Linked DNA regions of Anolis sagrei. The protein of the gene in region 3 interacts with the protein of the main gene of each other region in a pairwise test. Links are inferred from orthologs where the notes say so. Each region holds a gene or a part of one and is shown on either strand. Other genes may lie near its edges.

What was found.
Region 1: the proteins of GRB10 (region 3) and IGF1R interact in a two-hybrid assay, tested with the Homo sapiens proteins (4 studies listed by BioGRID and IntAct). The link is inferred for Anolis sagrei from reciprocal best matches to the Homo sapiens genes GRB10 and IGF1R.
Region 2: the proteins of GRB10 (region 3) and GIGYF1 interact in a two-hybrid assay, tested with the Homo sapiens proteins (2 studies listed by BioGRID). The link is inferred for Anolis sagrei from reciprocal best matches to the Homo sapiens genes GRB10 and GIGYF1.

The regions. Positions count from the first base shown.
Region 1 is NC_090029.1:14,282,366-14,289,929, reverse strand, and holds the start of IGF1R (insulin-like growth factor 1 receptor), read right to left. Parts: upstream 3,003-7,564; 5' UTR 949-3,002; coding exon 855-948; intron 1-854. UniProt on the Homo sapiens protein: Receptor tyrosine kinase which mediates actions of insulin-like growth factor 1 (IGF1). Binds IGF1 with high affinity and IGF2 and insulin (INS) with a lower affinity. The activated IGF1R is involved in cell growth and survival control.
Region 2 is NC_090026.1:2,531,324-2,538,891, reverse strand, and holds the start of GIGYF1 (GRB10-interacting GYF protein 1), read right to left. Parts: upstream 3,003-7,568; 5' UTR 2,835-3,002; intron 2,632-2,834; exon of another isoform or gene 2,545-2,631; intron 1-2,544. UniProt on the Homo sapiens protein: May act cooperatively with GRB10 to regulate tyrosine kinase receptor signaling. May increase IGF1 receptor phosphorylation under IGF1 stimulation as well as phosphorylation of IRS1 and SHC1.
Region 3 is NC_090026.1:61,950,795-61,958,091, forward strand, and holds the start of GRB10 (growth factor receptor-bound protein 10), read left to right. Parts: upstream 1-4,288; 5' UTR 4,289-4,612; intron 4,613-5,162; exon of another isoform or gene 5,163-5,273; intron 5,274-7,297.

The DNA of each region.
Region 1 (7,564 bases), on a different chromosome or scaffold from region 3:
AAAACACCTGGAAGGGAGGGACCAAGTTAGCCCATGCCAAGTCCAAAAGACCTGGAAGGGAGGACCCAAGTTGGCCCATGCCTTCATCCTCTTGGCAATGGACACTTCAGTCAATCAAGGGATCATCTGAATACACACATTATGGGCAGTGAAGTCCAAAACACCTGGAAGGGAGGGCCCAAGTTGGCCCATGCCTTCATCCTCTTGGCAATGGACACCAGTCAATCAAGGGATCATCTGCATACACACATTATGGGAACTGAAGACCAAAACACCTGGAAGGGAGGGCCCAAGTTGGCCCATGCCTTCGTCCTCTTGGCAATGGACACTACATTCAATCAAGGGATCATCTGAATACACACATTATGGGAAGTGAAGTCCAAAACACCTGGAAGGGAGGGCCCAAGTTGGCCCATGCCTTCATCCTCTTGGCAATGGACACTACAGTCAATCAAGGGATCATCTGCATACACACATTATGGGAAGTGAAGTCCAAAACACCTGGAAGGGAGGGCCCAAGTTGGCCCATGCCTGGTATAGCAGCTTGTCCTTCCAACTGATGGAGGAGACAATATGAGCTAAAAATAAACACATGTGTGTGTGTGTTTTCTGGGTAAATGCCCGGAAAACATGTGTGTGTGTGTGTGTGTTGTTTATTTTTAGCATGTGTGTGTGTGTGTTTTCCGGGTAAATCCCGGAAAACTCACAGCAACCCAATAAACCCAATAAATATAGCCGCCTGTCCTTTCATCAATCCCAACTCCTGGTAGAGGAGATGGAATTAAAAATAAACTACCCCCCCCCTTAACAGACACACACACATAAATATATAGGTATGTCTATGAAACACTCACTTTTTCCATTTGCTGTCCCGAAGCAAAACGTGGTCAAGATCAGCAAAAGCCCCCCATATAAGGTCAGGGACCCTCCTCCAGCGCCAGGCTTCATTCCTCTCTTTTTGTCCTTCTGGGTTGGGAGCAAAACTGGCCTTTGGGAAGTCCACAAAAACAGAAGAATCTAACAACAATACTAATCAATCTGTACAGGGTTTCCAGAGAAGCGGTGGAACTCTTCTTCCCCAACCTTGTTCCCCCAAAAAAGAAGGATTTTCTCTCCAAAAGGCTCCTTTTGGAGAAAGGAGGACAAGAATACAGAGAGAGAGAAGCGTTTGGGAGTCCTTGGATGTTTCCCTGGTTTGGTTCTTTCTCTTTCCTTTGGGGAGGCCTCTGCCAGGGGAAGAAGGAAGGGAATGGAGGGAGGAAGGAAAGGCAGGGATGGGGGGTCTTTTGGAGAGGCCAAAAAGGGGTCTTTGGCCCCTTTTTTCTCTTCGAGGAGGGAAGATCCCGGCGTGCGCCTCAGCCTCGCCTGCAGTCATCCAGGAGCAGCAAACATGTCACACGTTGGAGCAAACAGTCCGCATCTTCGACCTCCATCTTTTTTCTTCTCCTCCTCCTCCTTCTCCTTCTTCCTGCCGGGCTTGCCTTCTCCGCCCTACCCCCACAAACAAATAAACAAACAAATAAACAATCAGGAAAACACCAACACGGATCCCTTCTTTGCCTCCTTCCTCTCTCTCCAAGCCTCCTGTGCGCAATGCAAAAGGCCTCCTTGCTTTTACGCACGACTTCTCCTTCTCAATCTCCTTTGGAAAAAACCCCCAAAATGCAAAAATGGAAAAAAATCCCCAAAACCCCAAAGAGGAAACGCAGGGGAACGATGAGGGGGTGCTTTCCTTTGGAGAAAAAAAAATGACTCAATCCAATATTTCTTCCAATGGAAGGAAAGAAAGAAAGAAGGAAGGTTGTTGTTGTTTTTGGAGAGGTTCCTTTCTGGTCCTTCTTCCTGACTCCTTTCTCTCTCTCTTCCCTTTGTATTTTTTCGTCCCACCAAAAAGCTCTAAAAGGAGGAGAAATAGAGGAACGACTGGGGGGTCGCTTTCCTTGGAAGGGCGGGGGGACAAATTCAATCCAGTATTTCTTCCAATGGAAGGAAAGAAGGAAGGTTGTTGTTGTTTTTGGAGAGGTTCCTTTCTGGTCCTTCTTCCTGACTCCTTTCTCTCTTCCTTTTGTATTTTTTCGTCCCACCAAAAAGCTCTAAAAGGAGGAAAAATAGAGGAACGACTGGGGGGGTCGCTTTCCTTGGAGGGGGGGACAAATTCAATCCAATGGGAGTGGAAGGAAGGAAAGAAGGAAGGAAGGAAGGCAAGGCGGATCTTGTTGTTGTTTTGGAGAGGTTTCCTTTCTGGCGCGTTTCCCCCTCTTTCAGACGCCTTTCTCTCTTCTTTTTGCCCCCCAAGAATGGAGGAGGCGTCCTTCAAAGGGTCCGAAGCCCCTTCCCCATCTTTCCTCGGCCTGTTTTTGCCAAATGCGGATCCTAAATGCGGAATGGCGATGAATGGAGGGAGGAGACGCGGCGCGCCAAAGGCTTGGCTTTCTCTCTTTCTCTGTCTCTCTCTCTTTCCCCCTCCTTTTTTCCCAGGCTCCTTCCCAAATAGGAAAAAGGAGGGAAAGGAAGGGGGGGGGGGGACCAAAGGAAGGGGCACCTCCCTCTGGAAAGAAAAAAAAAGAGGCAAATAAATAGGGAGGGAGTCCCTTCTCCAAACGCCTCCCTTCCCTTCGGAAAGGCGCCTTTGCAAACAACGCCAGGCGAGGCTCGAGGGAGATCCCGGAGGCGGATTCCGAAGCTGGGTTTCTCTTTCTCTCTTTCTCTCTGTGTCTCTCTTTCCTTCCCTTCTTCGCCTTCTCTTCCCAAAGAAGCAGAGGAATGAATGGTGGGAGGAGGAGGAGGATCCGGCGTTTGGCTGCTGAAGGTCAAATCCTGGGGAGCAGCAAAACCAAAGCAAGGAAGGAAGGAAGGAAACAAAGCCAAGCAGCACTGTTCTCCCTTGCTTGCTTGCTTTTCCTCCCTCCCTCCTTCCTTCTCTCTCTCTCTTTACCAGAGGAGGGGGCCTACCAGGCCGGAGAGTCGCCCTCCGCAGCAGTAGCAGCAACAACCTCCGCCTTCCTCTCTTCCTCCTCCTCCTCCTCTTCCTCCTCCTCTCGACTGCGGAGGCTGGCTTTTTCCACGGCGCCGCCTCCTCCTCTTCCTCCTCTCCTCCTCTTTCTCCTTCCTCCTCTCCTGACTCCCAGCCGTAGCCCAGGCTTTCCCCTTCCTCCCCCCCCCCCCCCCGCTTTGGGGTTGCAGGCCTCCAAAGTGGGTGCACCCCCCCTCCCCGACCGCCTCTCCAAATGCGCAAAAATAGAGACCCCTCTCTCCCTCTCCAAAGGAAAACGCCCAAATCTGGATATTGAGAGTTTTGCAATGCTTATAGTAGTGACTGAGAAGGGTGCTTAAGACTTTGAAGGTGACAAGAAAGGAGGCTTTCTCCCAAGTCTTTGGGGATTTGGGGGTCTTGCAATGCCATGATGGAGACTGAGAAGGGTGCTCCAAACGCTGAGGGTGCCAAGAAAGGAGCCTTTCTCCCAAGTCTTTGGGCATTTTGGGGGGGGGGGGGGTTGCAGTGCCATGATGGAGACTGAGAAGGGTGCTCCAGACTCTGAAGGTGCCAAGAAAGGAGGGTTTCTCCCAAGTCTTTGGGCATTTGGGGGTCTTGTAATGCCATGATGGGGACTGAGAGGAGTGCTCCAGACTCTGAAGGTGCCAAGAAGGGAGCCTTTCTCCCAAGTCTTTGGGCATTTGGGGGGGGGGGGGTTTGCAATGCCATGATGGGAGACTGAGAGGGGTGCTACAGACTCTGAAGGTGCCAAGAAAGGAGGCTTTCTCCCAAGTCTTTGGGCATTTGGGATCTTGCTATGCCATGAGGGAGACTGAGAGGGGTGCTCCAAACTCTGAATGTGACGGAAAAGAGGCTTTTCCCCAAATCTTTGGACATTTGGGGGGGTTGCAATGCCATGATGGTGACTGAGAAGGGTGCTCCAGACTCTGAAGGAGCCAGAAAGGAGGGTTTTTCCCAAGTCTTCAGGCATTTGAGGGGTTGCAATGCCATGATGGTGACTGAGAGGGGTGCTCCACACTTTGAAGGTGCCAAGAAGGGAGACTTTCTCCCAAGTCTTTGGGCATTGGGGGTTTACAATGCCATGATGGTGACTGAGAAGGGTGCTCCAGACTCTGAAGGTGCCAGAAAGGAGCCTTTCTCCAGTCTTTGGGCATTTGGGGGTTGCAATGCCATGGTGGTGACTGAGAAGGGTGCTCCAGACTCTGAAGGTGCCAGAAAGGAGCCTTTCTCCAGTCTTTGGCCATTTGGGGGTTGCAATGCCATGGTGGTGACTGAGAGGGGTACTCAAGACCCTGAAGGTGACAAGAAAGGAGCCTTTCTCCCAATTCTTTGAGCATTTGAGGGGTTGCAATGCCATGATGGTGACTGAGAGGGGGGCTCCAGACTCTGAAGGTGCCAGAAAGGAGGGGTTTTCCCCAAGTCTTCAGGCATTTGAGGGGTTGCAATGCCATGATGGTGACTGAGAGGGGTACTCAAGACTTTGAAGGTGCCAAGAAAGGAGGATTTCTCCCGATTCCTTGGGCATTTGGGGAGTCTTGCAGTGCCATGATGGAGACTGAGAGGGGTGCTCCAGACTCTGAAGGTGCCAAGAAAGGAGGCTTTCCCCCAAGTCTTTGAGCATTTGGGGTCTTGCAATGCCATGATGGTGACTGAGAGGGGTACTCAAGACCCTGAAGGTGCCAAGAAAGGAGACTTTCTCCCAAGTATTTGGGCATTTGGGGGTCTTGCAATGCCATGATGGTGACTGAGAGAGGTACTCAAGACCCTGAAGGTGCCAAGATAGGAGCCTTTCTCCCAATTCTTTGGGCATGGGGGGGGGGGGTCCAATACCATGATGGAGACTGAGAGGGGTGCTCCACACTTTGAAGGTGCTTTTTTCCCAAGTCTTTGGGCATTTGGGGGTTTTGCAATGCCGTGATGGAGACTGAGAGGGGTGCTCCAGACTCTGAAGGTGCCAAGATAGGAGCCTTTCTCCCAATTCTTTGGGCATTGGGGGGGGGGGGGGGGTTCCAATTCCATGATGGTGACTGAGAGAGGTACTCAGGACCCTGAAGGTGCCAAGATAGGAGCCTTTCTCCCAATTCTTTGGGCATTGGGGGGTGGGGTTCCAATGCCATGATGGAGACTGAGAGGGGTACTCCACACTTTGAAGGAGACTTTCTCCCAAGTCTTTGGGCATTTGGGGGTTTTGCAATGCCATGATGGTGACTGAGAGGGGTACTCAAGACCCTGAAGGTGCCAAGAAAGGAGCCTTTCTCCCAATTCTTTGGGCATGGGGGGGGGTCCAATACCATGATGGAGACTGAGAGGGGTGCTCCACACTTTGAAGGTGCTTTTTTCCCAAGTCTTTGGGCATTTGGGGGTTTTGCAATGCCGTGATGGAGACTGAGAGGGGTGCTCCAGACTCTGAAGGTGCCAAGATAGGAGCCTTTCTCCCAATTCTTTGGGCATTGGGGGGTGGGGTTCCAATGCCATGATGGAGACTGAGAGGGGTACTCCACACTTTGAAGGAGACTTTCTCCCAAGTCTTTGGGCATTTGGGGGTTTTGCAATGCCATGATGGAGACTGAGAGGGGTACTCAAGACCCTGAAGGTGCCAAAGCGAGGAACCTTTCTCTCTTTGCAGTCCTCTCCCTTAATTACAACACGAAATAAACACCCAGGAGGATAACAATCAGTAAGGTGCATCCAAACATTATTGGGGTTGGAAAGCAAGGGCTTTGCATCCTAACAGGGAAGACTAAATCTCGACTAAATCGGAAGCGTCTATTATTCTTAACTTCTATAATAACTTCATCATTCATTTGTTTCTCTTAACTTCTTTGCAATCTGATAACATTTCTATTACATACAATTATCTCTGTTTGTTTCTATTACATCTTAAACACATATGATAGGAAACACAACACCCCCCTCCCCTTTTATTTTTCTCCTTTGCTTGCGTTTCGGGAGCGCGCACGCACAAACGCACGCCTCCGCCACCGCTTTGCTTTTTGCAAGAGACGGAGCCTGGATTTCTCTCTCCTGGAGCACAAAGGAATGGAGCCTAGCAGCCCCTTATCCACGAATTCCATATCCGCGGGGCCTGGCTACTCCTTGGAGAAGTTTTCTCCCACTCCAAAAAAAAAGAAAGGTACCTAACTGCCTGTATAAAAGTGCTTCGGTATTACTATGCTGTTTTTTATGTATATGTGTGTGTATATAATAATAATTAATAATAATTATTATTAATTAATAATAATAATTAATAATAATTAATAATAATACTTTATCCCCAAAGGGATTTGGGGCGGCTTATATGAGGCCAAGCCCTACAATACATACATCAGTAAATCAACACAGCAATAACATAAAAGCCAAAAAAAGAGAAATCTATATACATAAAAATGTAATGTTCGTTTGTGGGATTAACAGAACTCAAAAACCACTGGACGAATTGACGCCAAATTTGGACACAAGACACCTACTAACCCAAGAAATGATCATCACGAAAAAAAATTGATTTTCTCATTTGGGAGTTGTAGTTGTTCGGATTTATAGTTCACCTCCAATCAAAGGGCATTCTGAACTCCACCAAATCATGGAATTTTACCAAACTTGGCACACAGGACTCCCCTGACCAACAGAAAATACTAGAAGCGTTTGGTGGGCATTGACATTCGTTTGGGAGTTGTAGTTCACCTACATCCAGAGAGCACTGTGGACTCAAACAATGAAGGATCCAGACCAAACTTGGCATGAAAATTCCATATGCCCTAATATGAACAGAGATGGCATTCAGAGGAAATAGACCTTGACATTTGGGATTTATAGTTCACCTACAATCAAACAGCATTCTGAACTCCACCAAATCATGGGATTGAACCAAACGTGGCACACAGGACTCCCCTGACCAACAGAAAATACTAGAAGGGTTTGGTGGGCATTGACGTTGGGTTTGGGAGTTGTAGTTCACCTACATCCAGAGAGCACTGTGGACTCAAACAATGAAGGATCCAGACCAAACTTAGCACGAATATTCCATATGCCCAAATATGAACAGAGATGGAGTCTGGGAGAAATAGACCTTGACATTTGGGATATGTAGTTACTGGGATTTATAGTTCACCTCCAATCAAAGAGCATTCTGAACCCCACCAACAACAGACTTGGGGCAAACTTCCCACACAAAACCCCCATGGCCAGCCATTCCAACTCCCTTCACCAGGGCAAGAAAATGTAATCAAAGGCCTCCTGACAAAGAGCCATCCAGCCATAGATGTAGATAGATATATATGATTCACACACAGAGAGATATAGTATCATAGATTTGAAATATAGTATCATGAATATGATATATTATCATAGTATCATAGATTTGAAAGGGACCCCTTAAGATGGACAATTATATGTTGCATGTTCCAAAGTAGGCAAACCAGATACTCTCCACATCAACACTGACAAAGACACAGCAAGAAATGCTGTTTACCCACAAGCATCAAGGCATTACATATATTAGAAACCAACACTTTCTAATTACTTCATTTTCCAGATCACCAGACTGGGCCACAGCAACGCGTGGCAGGGGAC
Region 2 (7,568 bases), about 59 Mb from region 3:
CTGTTTTATACCAACATTGAATATTTGCCTTTATTATGCTGGAAGCCGCCTGAGTCCCCTTGGGGAGATAGGGCGGGCTACAGATATATTATTATTATTATTATTATTGGAGGTCCAAACACCTGGAGGACCAAAGACTGTGCAAGTCTGGTGTAGATGCACCCAGAACAAGGGACACCGGTGGAACGTAGTAACACTACTACTAATTATTATTATTATTTTATTTATTACCCACCTCTCCTCATGTCTCAAGGCGGGATTCAAAATAAATGAAAACACATCAACATTGCAGAAACAGTACAGGTACATAAAGGCCCTGAGTCCCTTCAGGGACATAGGACGGGATATAAAGTTATTTTATTATATTATATATATTATTAAAATGTATTTCGACAAGCACTCTCACTGTGCCATAATAATAACTTTATTTTTATACCCTGCCTCAATCTCCCCAAATGGACTAGGGGGAACTTACATGGGGCCAAGCCCAACAAAACAGTTAAAACATAACACATTAAAATGCATGTCAACAAAACAACAACAACATTAAGCGGTATATAAAACAAACATCAAAACCAAACAACCAAAAGCAAAGTTCAATGTCTTGTCATGGATGGTGCCACAACATTAAAGGAAAGAGCTAATGATAGAACTAATGGGTAAAGTGCAAATATCATATAGCAGCAATGAGGATAAGAGCGATTTATCATCAAGGATTTGGATAAACATTGTAAAGTGCTTGAGAACAAGATTCTTGGATCTTAACTGGGGCCAGCTGTCCAGGGAATTGCAATGGGTGTAAGCAAGAAGGGCAGGATCCGAGAACTGGGAGAGATCCCTACACCGCCCGAGCCCTCCCGACAGATGGCCATGCAGCCTATGCTTAAAACCCTCCAGAGAAAGAGATTCTGCAGAACTTCAACTGCCAGGAGGTTCTTCCGAATGTGGAGGTGGAATCAGACCACAGAGCAGCTCGGGCAAAGTTTCTCCCTCCAGGTCTTTTGGACTCCCAACTCCCACAATTCCTAACAGCCTCAGGCCCCATCCTTTTCCCACTCAGCCACTTATGGAAGTCCAAAACACCTGGAGGGTGCAAGTTTGCCCAGGCCTGGCTTAGAGTCTCTTCCAACTCAGGCCTTGTAATGTGGAATGAGGCTGAGGAGGAAAAGGAAAGGGCCTGAGGCTGCTGAGGGGGGAAAGGGCCCGAGGCTGCGCAAAAGGAAAAGGCCTGAGGCTGCTGAGGAGGAAAAGGAAATGGCCTGAGGCTGAGGAAAAGGCAGGGCCCTGAGGAGGAAATGGAAAGGGCCTGTGGCTGCTGATGAAAAGTAAAAGGCCCAAGGCTGCTGAGAGGGAAAAGGAAAGGACCTGAGGCTGTTGAGGTAAAAAATGGAAAGGGCCTGAGTCTGCTGAAAAGTAAAAGGCCTGAGGTTCCTGAGGAGGAAAAGGAAAGGCCGTGAGGCTACTGAGGAGGAAAAGTAAAAGATATGAGGCTGCTGAGGAGGAAAAGGAAAGAGACTGAGGCTGAGGAAAAGGCCTGAGGTTGAGGAAAAGGCAGGGCCCTGAGACTGCTGAGGAGGAAATGGAAAGGGCCTGTGGCTGCTGATGAAAAGTAAAAGGCCTTAGGCTGCTGTAGAGGAAAAGGAAAGGGCCTGAGGCTGCTGAGAGGGAAAAGGAAAGAGGCTGAGGCTGAGGAAAAGGGAAGGGCCCGAGGCTGCCGAGAAGGCAAAGGAAAAGTCCCGAGGCTCCTGAGGAGAAAAAGGAAAGGACCTGAGGCTGCTGAGAAGGAAAAGGCCTGAGGTTGCTGAGGGGGGAAAGGAAATGGGATGAGGAAAAGGCCTGAGGCTCCTGAGGAGGAAGAGGAAAGGGCTTGAGGCTGCTGAGGGGGGAAAGGAAAGGGCCTGAGGCTGCTGAGGAGGAAATGGAAAAGGTCTGAGGCTGCTGAGGAGGAAATGGAATGAGGCTGCTGAGGAGGAAATGGGAAAGACCTGAGGCTGCTAAGAAGGAAATTGAAAAGGCCTGAGGCTGCTGAGAAGGAAAAGGCCCGAGGCTGCTGAAGAGGAAATTAAAAGGGCCTGAGGCTGAGGAAAAGGCAGGGCCCTGGGGCTGCTGAGGAGAAAATGGAAAGGGTTTGTGGCTGCTGATGAAAAGCAAAAGGCCTGAGGCTGCTGTAGAGGAAAAGGAAAGTGCCTGAGGCTGCTGAGGTAAAAAAAAAAGAAAAAAGGAAAGGGCCTGAGGCTGCTGAGGAGGAAAAGGAAAGAACCTGAGGCTGCTGAAAAGTAAAAGGATTGAGGCTGCTGAGAGGGAAAAGGAAAAATCCTGAAGCTCCTGAGGAGGAAAAGGAAAAGAGCTGAGGAAAAGGAAAGGGCCTGAGGCTGCTGAGGAGGAAAATAAAAAGGCCTGAGGGTGCTGAGGAGGGAGAGGAAAAGGCCTGAGCCTGTCCCGAATTGTGGGAGTTGGAGTCCCAAAGAGCTGGAGGGAGGAAGCTGGCCCAAGCCCGGCCTATCGAGTCCAGCCCATGCGCGCGGCCTGGCGAGGCCTCCTTACCAGAGCCGAAGCCCACCCGCACGGCCACTGGCCCCGGGCGAGGAGGGAAGGGGCGAGGAGCGGGGTCTCCTCAGACCCAGAGAAAGGAGGGGCGGGAAGCGGAAGTGGGGAGGCGGGACTTCCGCCGCCGCAGCGCCGCCTGCCCTAACGCGAGGGGGCGGGGCCGGCGAGGGAGCCGAGGAGGGCGGGGGGAGGGGTCTCCTAGGCGACGGAGCGGGTGGGCGTGGCCCCGAGGGAGCGGGCACGGCGGGAGGGGGGCTTCCATGGCAACGGGAGGGGGCGTGGCTTACCTTTTGCTGGGGGAGGGAGGGGGGAAGAGGAGGAGGAGGCGTGGCCTCGGCGCGGATCCGCGTCTCTCTCTCTCTCTCTCCTTCTCTCTCTCTCTCTCGCGGGGAGCTCCGTCCTCCTCTCGCCGCTTGTTTGTGTTTGTAACCAAAATGGCCGCCCTCCTCCTTCTCGTCACGTGACGCGACTGAGCCTAGCGCGCATGCGCAGACCAGGGGGAACAAGACGAGTGGGGCGGGGCTTGAAGGGGAAAGAATGGAAAGGGTGGTACTGCGCAGCCGCAGAAGATTCGAACTCGCTTTTTCTGTGTACGCATGCGCAACCTAGGAAAAGCCTCTCCAAGGGGGTTTTCTTGCACGCATGCGCAACCTAGGAAAAGCCTCTCTCAGGGGTTTTCTTGCACGCATGCGCAAACTAGGAAAAGCCTCTCTAAGGGGTTTTCTTGCACGCATGCGCAAACTAGGAAAAGCCTCTCTAAGGGGTTTTCTTGCACGCATGCGCAAACTAAGAAAAGCCTCTCAGGTGTTTTCTTGCACGCATGCGCAACCTAGGAAAAGCCTCTCTGAGGTTTTTCTTGCACGCATGCGCAAACTAGGAAAGGTCTAAGGGGTTTTTCTTGCACGCATGCGCAAACTAGGAAAAGCCTCTCAGGTGTTTTCCTGCACGCATGCGCAAACTAGGAAAAGCCGCTCTAAGGGGTTTTCTTGCACGCATGCGCGAACTAGGTTAAGGGAGTTTAAATGTACGCATGCCCAGAACGGTTTGTACTTGGTATAATCGTCTCGCCGCTCTCATCCGCGCGTGCGCAAAGCGGCGCAAGGGCATTTGTACGAGATCGGAGGAGCGGTGTCCACGTGACCTTGCCTGCCTGCTTTGGCGCGCTCTCGCCGCTAGAGGCGCGCTCCCGGAGAGAAATGCCGAAGGGGATTGGTCGGCCCTCGCCCTCGTCACGTGATCCCCGCCTGGGCCTAGCCCGTGACGTCATCACCACCTCTCCGCCATCGAGTCGCAAAATGACGTCAGCAAAAGGGGACGTGGGCACGAAATATTTGTACTAAAGGTCGGATTGCATCGGAATAATAGACCATAGTTCCTCTCAAAGTTGCAGCACGTTTACTCCATTAATTACCTGTTTTCCTTCATCCAAAAATTACCTCAGCTTTACTCCAATATTACCTCAGGTTCGCTTCAATATTACTTCGGGTTTACTTCAATATTACCTCATATTTGAGTTGTTGTAGGTTTTTCAGGATGTCAGGCCATGTTCCAGAGGCATTCTCTCCTGACGTTTCGCCTGCATCTATGGCAAGCATCCTCAGAGGTAGTGAGGTCTGTTGGAAGTAGGAAAAATGGGTTTATATATCTGTGGAATGACCAGGGTGGGACAAAGGACTCTTGTCTGCTGGAGCTAGGTGGGAATGTTTCAACTGACCACCTTGATTAGCATTTGATGGCCTGGCAGTGCCTGGGGAAATCTTTTGTTGAGAGGTGATTAGAGAAGCAACTGGAACCAGGAAAATGGGTTTATATATCTGTGGAAAGACCAGGGTGGGACAAAGGACTCTTGTCTGCTGGAGCTAGGTGTGAATGTTTCACCCTAATCACAACCCAGTGATTCCAGCCATGAAACTCTTCGACAATACCTCATATTTACTCGAGCATTAGGCATGAGAGGTGGGTCCGGAAGCAGCTCTGAGCCTTACGCTCTTTCCACTTCGCTACTTTGGGAGCCCTGTTTGCACAACACAGAAAGGAACACAGGCATTGCAGAAGGAATGTCAGAGTTCTTTAATGATAAAACCCTAACCCTAATCCCTTAACCTGAACCCTATCCCTTAACCCTATTCCTAACTCTTAACCCTAATCCTAATTCTAACCTAACTGTAATCCTAAACCAAACCCTAATTCTAACCCAAACCCCAAACCTTACCCTAACCATAAACCCTACCCTAACCCTAATCCTAATCCAACCCTAAACCTTACCCTAACCCAAACCCTAATCCTAACTCTAATTCTAACCCAAACCTGAAATCTAACCCTAATTCTAACCCAAGCCCTAAACCTTACCCTACGCCTAAGACTAACCCTTAACCCTAATCCTAACCGTAATCCTAACCCTGATTCTAACCCAAACCTAAAACCTTACCCCAAGCCAAACCCTAACCCTGAACCTAACTGTAATCCTAAACCAAACCCTAAACCTTACCCTAACCCTAACTGTAATCCTAAACCAAACCCTAAACCTTACCCTAATCGTAAACCTTACCCTAAACCTTAACCCTAATCCTAACCCAAACCCTAATTCCAACCCTAAACCTTACCCTAACTAATCATAACCATAAACTTAAACCTTAACCTTAATCCTAATCCAAACCGTAATCCTAATCCAAATTCTAACCCTAACCATACCCTAACCCTAAGTCTCACCCCTAACCCTAACCTTACTAAACCTTTCTATCCTTTCACCAAATGCAACTACGAAGTATATTCCCGCCCTCAGTGTCCCATTCTCCCCTTCCCTTATTCAGAACCACTGTTGCGGAATGGGCGTAACGCTTGGCGCTTCCAGACCCAGCTATCATACTCTCACCGAGCATTATCTCAAATTTACTTCAGCATTACCTCAGGTTTACTCCCATATTAGCTCCAGTTTACTCCAATATTACCTCAAGTTTACTACAATATTGCCTCATATTTAATCCATACATTACCTCAAATTTACCCCCACATTACCTCAGATTTACTTCAGTATTACCTCAGGTTTACTCCCATATTAGCTCCTGTTTACTCCAATATTTCCTCAGATTTACTGCAATATTGCCTCATATTTACTCCATACTTTACCTCAAATTTACCCCCATATTACCTCAGATTTACTTCGGTATTACCTCAGGTTTACTCCCATATTAGCTCCAGTTTACTCCAATATTACCTCAGGTTTACTGCAATATTGCCTCATATTTACTCCATACTTTACCTCAAATTTACCCCCACATTACCTCAGATTTACTTCAGTATTACCTCAGATTTACTCCCATATTAGCTCCTGTTTACTCCAATATTACCTCAGGTTTACTGCAGTATTGCCTCATATTTACTCCATACATTATCTCAAATTTACCCCCACATTACCTCAGATTTACTTCAGTATTACCTCAGGTTTACTCCCATATTAGCTCCGGGTTACTCCAATATTACCTCAGGTTTACTGCAATATTGCCTCATATTTACTCCATACATTACCTCAAATTTACCCCCACATTACCTCAGATTTACTTCAGTATTACCTCAGGTTACTCCCATATTACCTCCGGTTTACTCCAATATTACCTCAGGTTTACTGCAATATTGCCTCATATTTACTCCATACATTACCTCAAATTTACCCCCACATTACCTCAAATTCAGTATTACCTCAGGTTTACTCCCATATTACCTCCCGTTTACTCCCATATTACCTCAGGATAACTGCAATATTGCCTCATATTTACTCCATACATTACCTCAAATTTACCCCCACATTACCTCAGATGTACTTCAGTATTACCTCAGGCTTACTCCCATATTACCTCCTGTTTACTCCAGTATTACCTTAGATTTACTTCAATGTTACCACAGGTTTACTCCAATATTATCTCAGATTTACCCTGGACATTATTCCACAGGTATAGTATATACACTCCACTTGCCTCCCTTCCAACAGAGCTCTGAACAAACTTCTGAGGATGCTTGTCAAAAATGCAGGTGGAACATCAGGAGATAATGCTACTGGAACATGGCCATACAGCCCAGAAAAGTCAGGGCAACCCAAATTAACGTTTACTACAACTAGAAGTAGAAGGCCTGAAATTTGGGATTTGTACCTAGGTTCTGAGAGTGCCTTGGACTGCGAGAAGATCCAACCAGTCCATCCTCCAGGAAATAAAGCCCGGCTGCTCACTGGAAGGAAGGAGACTAGAGACAAAGTTGATGTCCTTTGGGCACATCATGAGGAGACAGCAAAGCCTAGAGAAGACAATGATGCTGGGGAAAGTGGAAGGCTAAAGGAAGAGGGGCCGACCAAGGGCAAGATGGATGGATGACATCCTTGAAGTGACTGGACTGACCTTGAAGGAGCTGGGGGTGGTGACGGCCGACAGGGAGCTCTGGCATGGGCTGGTCCATGAGGTCACGAAGAGTCGGAAACGACTGAACGAATGAACAACAACAACAACCTACCTATGGCACTATTTTAATAACCACTACATAAGGAGATGGCAATGAGAAGCATTGGACCTTGGAGCCAGGGATGGTGTTTCCTAGAGGAAACATTCAAGTACAGGTGTGGGCCAACTTCAGCCTTCCTTCCAGGTGTTTTGGACTTCAACTCCCACAATTCCTAACAGCCTATCGGCTGTTAGGAATTGTGGGAGTTGAAGTCCAAAACGCCTGGAGGACCCAAGTTTGCCCATGCTTAATAGAAAGTTCTGAAGAAGAGGCAAGACCAGAACCCTTCCACGCTGGAAGAAGGATTCCAAGATTTCATCTTCCATGGCCTGAGGGCAAAGTCTCCTCGGCCTCACCTGGAGACGGGACTGTTGTCCTCAGAGGCTGAGACAGGCCGGGGAAACATGGAGACTATAAATAAAACTTGGAAGATGCAACACGACTATAAATGAAACGTGAAATATGTTTATCGGCCCCACCTGGTTTATGGCCGAGGTGTTTTCCTCGGGAGAGAAGGGAACTCCTAGCAACGC
Region 3 (7,297 bases):
GCATCTTGTGTTCCCAGAGCGCAGTCTGTTCAGTGCCTTCCAAGTCACCCAGTCTTCTGTGTGCCCAGGAGGGTGTTTCTCATTCGGTATCAGCCACTGATTGAAGTTCTGGGTTTCAGCCTGCCACTTTTGGACTCTCGCTTGCTGAGGTGTTCCTTCGAGCATCTCTGTAGATCTTAAGAAGCTGTTTCTTGATTTAAGACGTTAGCATGCTGGCTGATATCTGAACAGAGGATGGGCCGAAGCTGACAATGCCTTGGTCTTTTCATTACTGGTTGCTACTTCCTGGGGGATATCAGGTGGTGCAATACCAGCTAAACAGTATAATTTCTCCAGCGGTTTAGGAGACATCCTATGATAATGTGGCATATCTCATTAAGAGCCACATCCACTGTTTTAACACGGTGGAATGTATTCCACACTGGGCAGCAAAGTAGCAAAAGCAGATGTCTTCACTGTAACTGGTTGTGATCCCCAGGCTGTGTCAGTCAGCTTTTGTATGATATTATCTGTATCACACACTTTTTGCTTGATAATCAAGCGAGTGATTGTGAGTGGAAACTTGTGAGAAATCTGTGCAGCCTGCCAACTAGTGGTTATTTTAGGAATTTACATGAATCAAGGAGAAAAAAATAGAGTCGTGCCAACTTGAAGCTATAAGCCAGGCATGAAAAATGTTGGAAGTTGTCTTCCATGCTGCAGGATCAAATATTCTGCCAAGATTTCATATGTATCCATCTCATTGGTATGCAAATTGGCTTTTGCCTTTGACACAGAGTAAAAATGATATGCAATTGTTTGGAAAGAAATCTATGATTTATGATCAGTAAAGGTTTCATTTATATGTACCAGGCATGAGCAAACTTTGGCCCTCCTCCAAGTGTTTTGGACTTCACCTCCTACAGTTTTGAATTGTGTGAGTTGAAGTCCAAAACACCTGGAGGACTGAAGTTTGCCCATGCCTGCTCTATAAGCTAGCTAGCATTGCCCCCCCCCCCCCCCCGGATGTGCTATGGGAAGTTGTTGCCAACTATGAGAGAAATAAGGTTGAACACTGTGAAAGCCATCCACTGCATGGCTCTCAGCCTCCTCCCAGTAGGCTCAAATCAAGAAAAAGTTTCAGGAGAACCACTACTCGTCCTAATGTTCCTCCAGCAACAGGCTATTCCAGTTAGGTGGCCCCCCACGAGGGTCTTCCTCCAGGGGCAAACCAAGAATGGACAAGTCGGAAGTCCCTGAACAGACTCAGAAGTGGAGTGGGCAGATCAAAAGACAACATGGCTAAATGGCACAACCTAGAAGAATCCTCCACCTTGTGTGATTCGAGGAGCAGGACAAACAACTCAGCACCTATATGCAGGGGCGGCTCAACCCATTACGCAAAGTAAGCATTTGCAGTATAGTTGATTTTGCCCAGGGGAGCTCTTGAGGCGCTCTTGGGGGGGGGGGGGGGAATAGATCTTGACATATGCGAGTTGTAGTTACTGGGATGTATATTTATTTGTCGTGTCAGAACAACCAGTCAAATTATATAACATTTCTAACAGAACCAGTCAAATTATATTACATTTCTAACAGAACTGGGATGTATAGTTTACCTACAATCAAAGAGCATTCTGAACTCCATCGATGATGGAATTGAACCAAATATGGCACACAGAACTCCCACAACGAACAGAATATATATATATATATATATATATATATACCAGTGATTGGTTGGGGGGGGGGGGCACCAAAATACTGTTTGCTTACCGTTGAAAATTACCTAGGGTCGCCTCTGCCTATGTTAGTCCACAATGCCCTGCCTCATGCACAAAGGAAGAACTGTTTAAAACCACAGATAATGCAGTAGCTGTTGCCTGTTTTTGGTCTAAAATTATTTAGCCGTGTTGGAAATTACAACCTTCTTAAAACCTCCTCTAGTAAATTGATCATCTACAATCCTGTTGCTTCCTCATTGGATGTATGTTCTGCTATGCAGCTTTCTTTCTTTGCTCTATGTTTTTCCTGAGAAGTTGTGGGAGGGGCTGCAGACCACATGATCCACTCTGGGCCGAGCACAGACTTCTTTAGAGTTTTGGACTGCTCAGATTGCATACTTGCAAATGCTTGTGGATTATTATGAGAGGTGTTCTGACCGGATCGGACAGAAACTATCTCAAACATATCTGTAACTGACTGATAAATTGTGTATGCTGAACAAATGAAGGTTGTGATTAAACCAGATGTTATTATTATTATTTTTTTACCAAAGTCTACTTTAATGTGTCTCTAGTATGCATACTATAAAACAAGTTGTTTATGGGAGAGTAGACCCTTTGGAAGAACTGCTATTTTAATGCACCGGCATATTCTCTGTTTCCTATCAGATCAGAGACAAAGGTCACTCAGTCTAATAACTGAAGCCAATCACCTTGCATATTACCTTTGGTTGCATTCCATTTGAGAGGATTCTACTCAAATGAGTTTTTGGCTCTTTTCTAAAACAGTGTTTCTCAACCTGGGACCCCTGCAGAGGTTGCGAGGGGGTTTCAGAAGGGTCATCAGAGATCATAAGAAAACATATTTCTGATGGTCTTAGGAATCTTTGGCAGAGAAGGCTGAAGAACTCTCTGCCTGTTCTTCTCTTCCTTTTTGGAAACAGACAGCGAATTCACCCACCAAAAGCTGTGATTGGCCAGCCTCTCAGCCAAGGGGAGGGCTGTTCCTGGAGGACCATCATAGAATCAAAGAGTTGGAAGAGATCTCATGGGCCATCCAGTTCAACCCCCTGCCAAGAAGCAGGAATATTGCATTCAATTCACCCCCGACAGATGGCCATCCAGCCTCTGTTTAAAAGCTTCCAAAGAAGGCGCCTCCACCACCCTCCGGGGCAGAGAGTTCCACTGCTGAATGGCTCTCACAGTCAGGAAGTTCTTCCTCGTGTTCAGATGGAATCTCCTCTCTTGTAGTTTGAAGCCATTGTTCCGCGTCCTAGTCTCCAGGGAAGCAGAAAACAAGTTTGCTCCCTCCTCCCTGTGGCTTCCTCTCACATATTTATACATGGCTATCATATCTCCTCTCAGTCTTCTCTTCTTCAGGCTAAATATGCTCAGCTCCTTAAGCCTCTCCTCATGGGCTTGTTCTCCAGACGCTTGCTTCAGTGCTGGTGGTCTTTACTTCTTCTGCACGCTGACGTAACCCTTTCCTTACTTCTGATAAGAGACATTTTGGATATCAACTCCCTGATTTATTAATCATTGGCCATGTAACGAGGGCTTCTACATCAAAGGTAGTTAGAGAAGTACTAATTAGGAGCCACATCCACTGTTTTAGCATAGTGAGATGTGTTCCACACTGGGCATGCATACTCAGCAGCAGACTAGCACAGCGCAAGGGCAGATGTCTTCACTGTATCTGGTTGTGATCCCCAGGTTGTGCCAGTCAGCTTTCGTATGATATTGTTTTTGGCACCCACTTTTTGCTTGATGTTCAGGCAGTGCTTCTTGTAGGTAAGAGCACGATCCAGGGTGACTCCCAGGTATTTGGGTGCCCTATGCAGTCAGTGGTTCCCTTGATGTATGGCAGGAACACTTTTCCTGTGGGTGGATCTTCGTCTTTATTCTCGTGACTTGTTCTTGTTCTAGCAGCTCTACTTCAAACAAGGACATCTAATCACCTCTCAACAAAAGATTGCTCCAGGCACTGCCAGGCCATCAAAGGCTAATCAAGGTGGTCAGTTGAAACATTCACACTTAGCTCCAGCAAACAAGAGTTCTTTGTCTCTCCCTGGTCATGCCACAGATATATAAACCCATTTTCCTATTTCCAACAGACCTCACTACCTCTGAGGATGCTTGCCATAGATGCAGGCGAAACGTCAGGAGAGAATGCCTCTAGACCATGGCCATACAGCCCGAAAAAACCTACAACAACCCAATGATTCCGGCCATGAAAGCCTTCGATAATACTCTCTGCTTCATTCGGAAAATGCTGCACTCGCAGAGCTCAGGCGGTGTTGTATTGAGGTATAGAGCTAGGGCGGTGTAGACATTTCCCCTGGCGGAAAAGGGGCGGGGAAAGTTGGAAAGAGGCATATTTCCTCAGAAGCCACTCCGCCATGCCCCTTGAGGGACCCAGGCCCTCTTTTCCCGACGTCTGAGGGACTTCCCGAGCGAGCCTGAATCCCGAGCCAAACTTGGCCTCGGCTCCGGCGCGAGCTGCGACTGCGTGCGCGAGCGGCAGAGGGAGAGAGGGAGGGACCGTGGGCGGGGCTAGCGCGCCCCGGAGGGGGAGGGGCCATCGCCTGAGGAGAGAGAGGGAGCGAGAGAGAGGGAGAGAGGGGTGGGCGAGTCAGCTGGCGCGAGGCTTCCCAGGCGGAACCTTCCTTGAGGAGGGGCGCCAGACCAGACGGTTCCCTCCGTCTCCTTCCCCTTCGTTTCCCCAGGAAAGAGTTCCCGGAGAGGGCAGGCGCCCTTCCTTCCCCTCGCGCTGCCAAGTCCAGGCTGCGAGAAACTTAATCAGCTCAGGAGAGGGAGGTGCAGGCGGAAAGGGAGGCCACGAGGAGGAGGAGGAGCGGGAGCCGAGCGCGCCGCTCACTCCCTCAATCACTCTCTGACTGACTTTGCAGGTAAGTCACCCGTCGCGGAGGGGCTTGACAGGAAGCAGGAGGGGCGCGCGCGCGCAGGGCGTCGTGGCCCTTTCCCTCCTCGCGCGCAGTTCGCACGGGACGAACTTTGGGAGTTGTTTCTGCGGCTCGCGAGAGGACGCCAGGCGCGTGCCTTCTCGGGAGCAAAGAGAGAGAGTGTGTGTGTGTGCGCGCGCTCGGGGAAAGGGTGGTTCTCAACTTGCCCCCCTTCCTTTCCCTTCCCTTGCGCTTCGTGAGGGGCGTGCAAACTTCCCTTCCCGGCCGGAGCTTGGGTGCCCTCTCCACATTGCATCATAAACCAGGGTGGAGCCAGCCTTTTTCCTCCTCCTCCTCCTCTCTCCCTTCCTCCCCCTCCCCTCCCCCTCCGCCCCTGGCCTTAAGCAACGAGCTCTGAGGGGCTTGCCCGGCTCTGCCAATCAGGGGCGGCGGTGGCGGGCGCGCGCTCCCTTTCGCCTTTCTCCTGAAGGGAGGGAATGCGGCGCGCGCGCGTGTACTGAGGGGAGGTGAGGGGAGGGGGGAATCGAATGTGGGCACTTCCCCGGATTTAAGGAGGAAGGACGGAGCCAGGACTTCTGCACCCACCCGGTAATGCAATGCACGCCTCGTATAGCTGTTCTTTCAACTTTGTAAAGGCGATGCCAAGGTGGGTCTGCTTGGTCTCGCTCCCATTGTGCTGGTGGCGTCTTCCCCCAAAAGAGTGAGGAATGCTTTGCAAAACTTTCCAGCGTGCGGGGCTGGAAGAGCCAGGGCAAACTCTGAGGCAAGGCCTGGGCTGCTTTGATCACCCCCGAGGAGGATTGGCCACCTTCCCTCCAAGAGTGCAGGGAAAAAAGGAACCACTGGTTGCTTTGAGGGAGGAATCTTCTTCTTTCTGGTCCTGTGACAGCTGTTGATTCCTTCTGCCTTCGCTTTGGTGTCTGTGTCTCCTTCGAGCCCCTGTTTCTGAATTCTCCCACTTGTTACATGCTGATTTCTACTTGTTGCATCCTTTGGTCCTTCCACTTAAAGAGAGAGCAGCCCAGTCTCTTCTTTTCACTCTTTCTGTGTATTTTGCATACACTGCCTGAAGTGAAGATGACCAGTGCAGGTTAACATTTATTCCTGACTGAGAGCCGTTCATCTGTGGAACTCTCTGCCCAGGCATGTAGCCGGGCATGTAGCCGAAAATCTCATGGTGGTCCGCAAGAAGGCCTTACTGGTACATTATTTAAACCAGTGATTCTCAACCTTCTTAATGTCACGACCCCTTAATACAGTTCCACATGTTGTGGTGGCCCCCAAGCAAAAAATTATTGTTATTGCTACTTCATATCTGCAACTTTGCTACTGTTATTATGTAAATATCTGATATGCAGGATGTATTTTCATCACTGGATCAAATTTGAATACTGGTGGGGTTGGGGGGATTAATTTTGTCATTTGGGAGTTGTAGTTTATAGTTCACCTACAATCAAAGAGCATTCCGAACTCCACCAACGATGGAATTGAAGCAGACTTGGCACACAGAACTCCCATGACCAACAGAAAATACTGGAAGGGTTTGGTGGGCATTGACCTTGAGTTTGGGAGTTGTAGTTCACCTACATCCAGAGAGCACTGTGGACTCAAACAATGATGGATCTGGACCAAACTTGGCATGAATACTCAGTATGCCCAAATATGAACACTGGTGGAGTTTGGTGAAAATAGAGTTTGCCATTTGGGAGTTGTAGTTGCTGGGATTTATAGTTCACCTACAATCAGAGAATTATGAACTGCACCAATGATAGAATTGGGTGAAACTTCCCACACAGGACCCCCATGACTAACAGAAAATGTTGTGCTTTCTGATGGTCTTTGGCGACCCTTTTAAAACCCCCTCGTGACCCCTCCAGGGGTCCTGACCCCCAGGTTGAGAACCACTGATTTAAACTGTTATGTTATTCATATCATGATCTGATCACCATGCTCAATATATCCCATATGCATGGGGTTATTGGAGTAGCAATACAAAAGGTTTGCTAGGGTAGACCCTCTTTCACTCAGACTCAGCCCCCTGCCACGAATCAAACTCCCCCCCCCCCCCCCGAATCAAAATCCTGGCTACGGGCCTGTCTGGGGCAGAGGCAGTCCCGTAGCCAGGATTATGTTTCGGGGGGAGCTGAGCTTGATTCGGGGGGGGGGGGGGCGAGTCTGAGTGAAAGAGGGTCTACCCTAGCAAACCTTTTGTAAAGACCCTCTTTCACTCAGACTCAGTCCCCCCCCCCCCCCTTTGAATCAAACTCAGCTCCTGGCTACGGGCCTGTCTCTGCCCCAGGGAGGCCTGTAGCCAGGATTTTGATTCGGGGAGGGGGGGGGCTGAGTCTGAGTGAAAGAGGGTCTACCCTAGCAAACCTTTTGTATTGTAACACCAATACCCCCATATTGAGCATGGTGATCAGATCGTGATATGAATAAACATAACAGTTTAAATAATGCACCAGTAAGGCCTTCTCGAGGGCCACCATGAGAATTTGGGGGGGGGGGGCGGCTAAAGCCCCTCAAACACCCCCCCCCCCCGGCTACATGCCTTGGCCCCAGAGTGTGGTGGAGGCTCCTTCTTTGGAAGCTTTTAAACAGAGGCTGGATGGCCATCTGTCATAGAATCCTAGAGTTGGAAGAGACCTCATGGGCCATCCAGTCCAACCC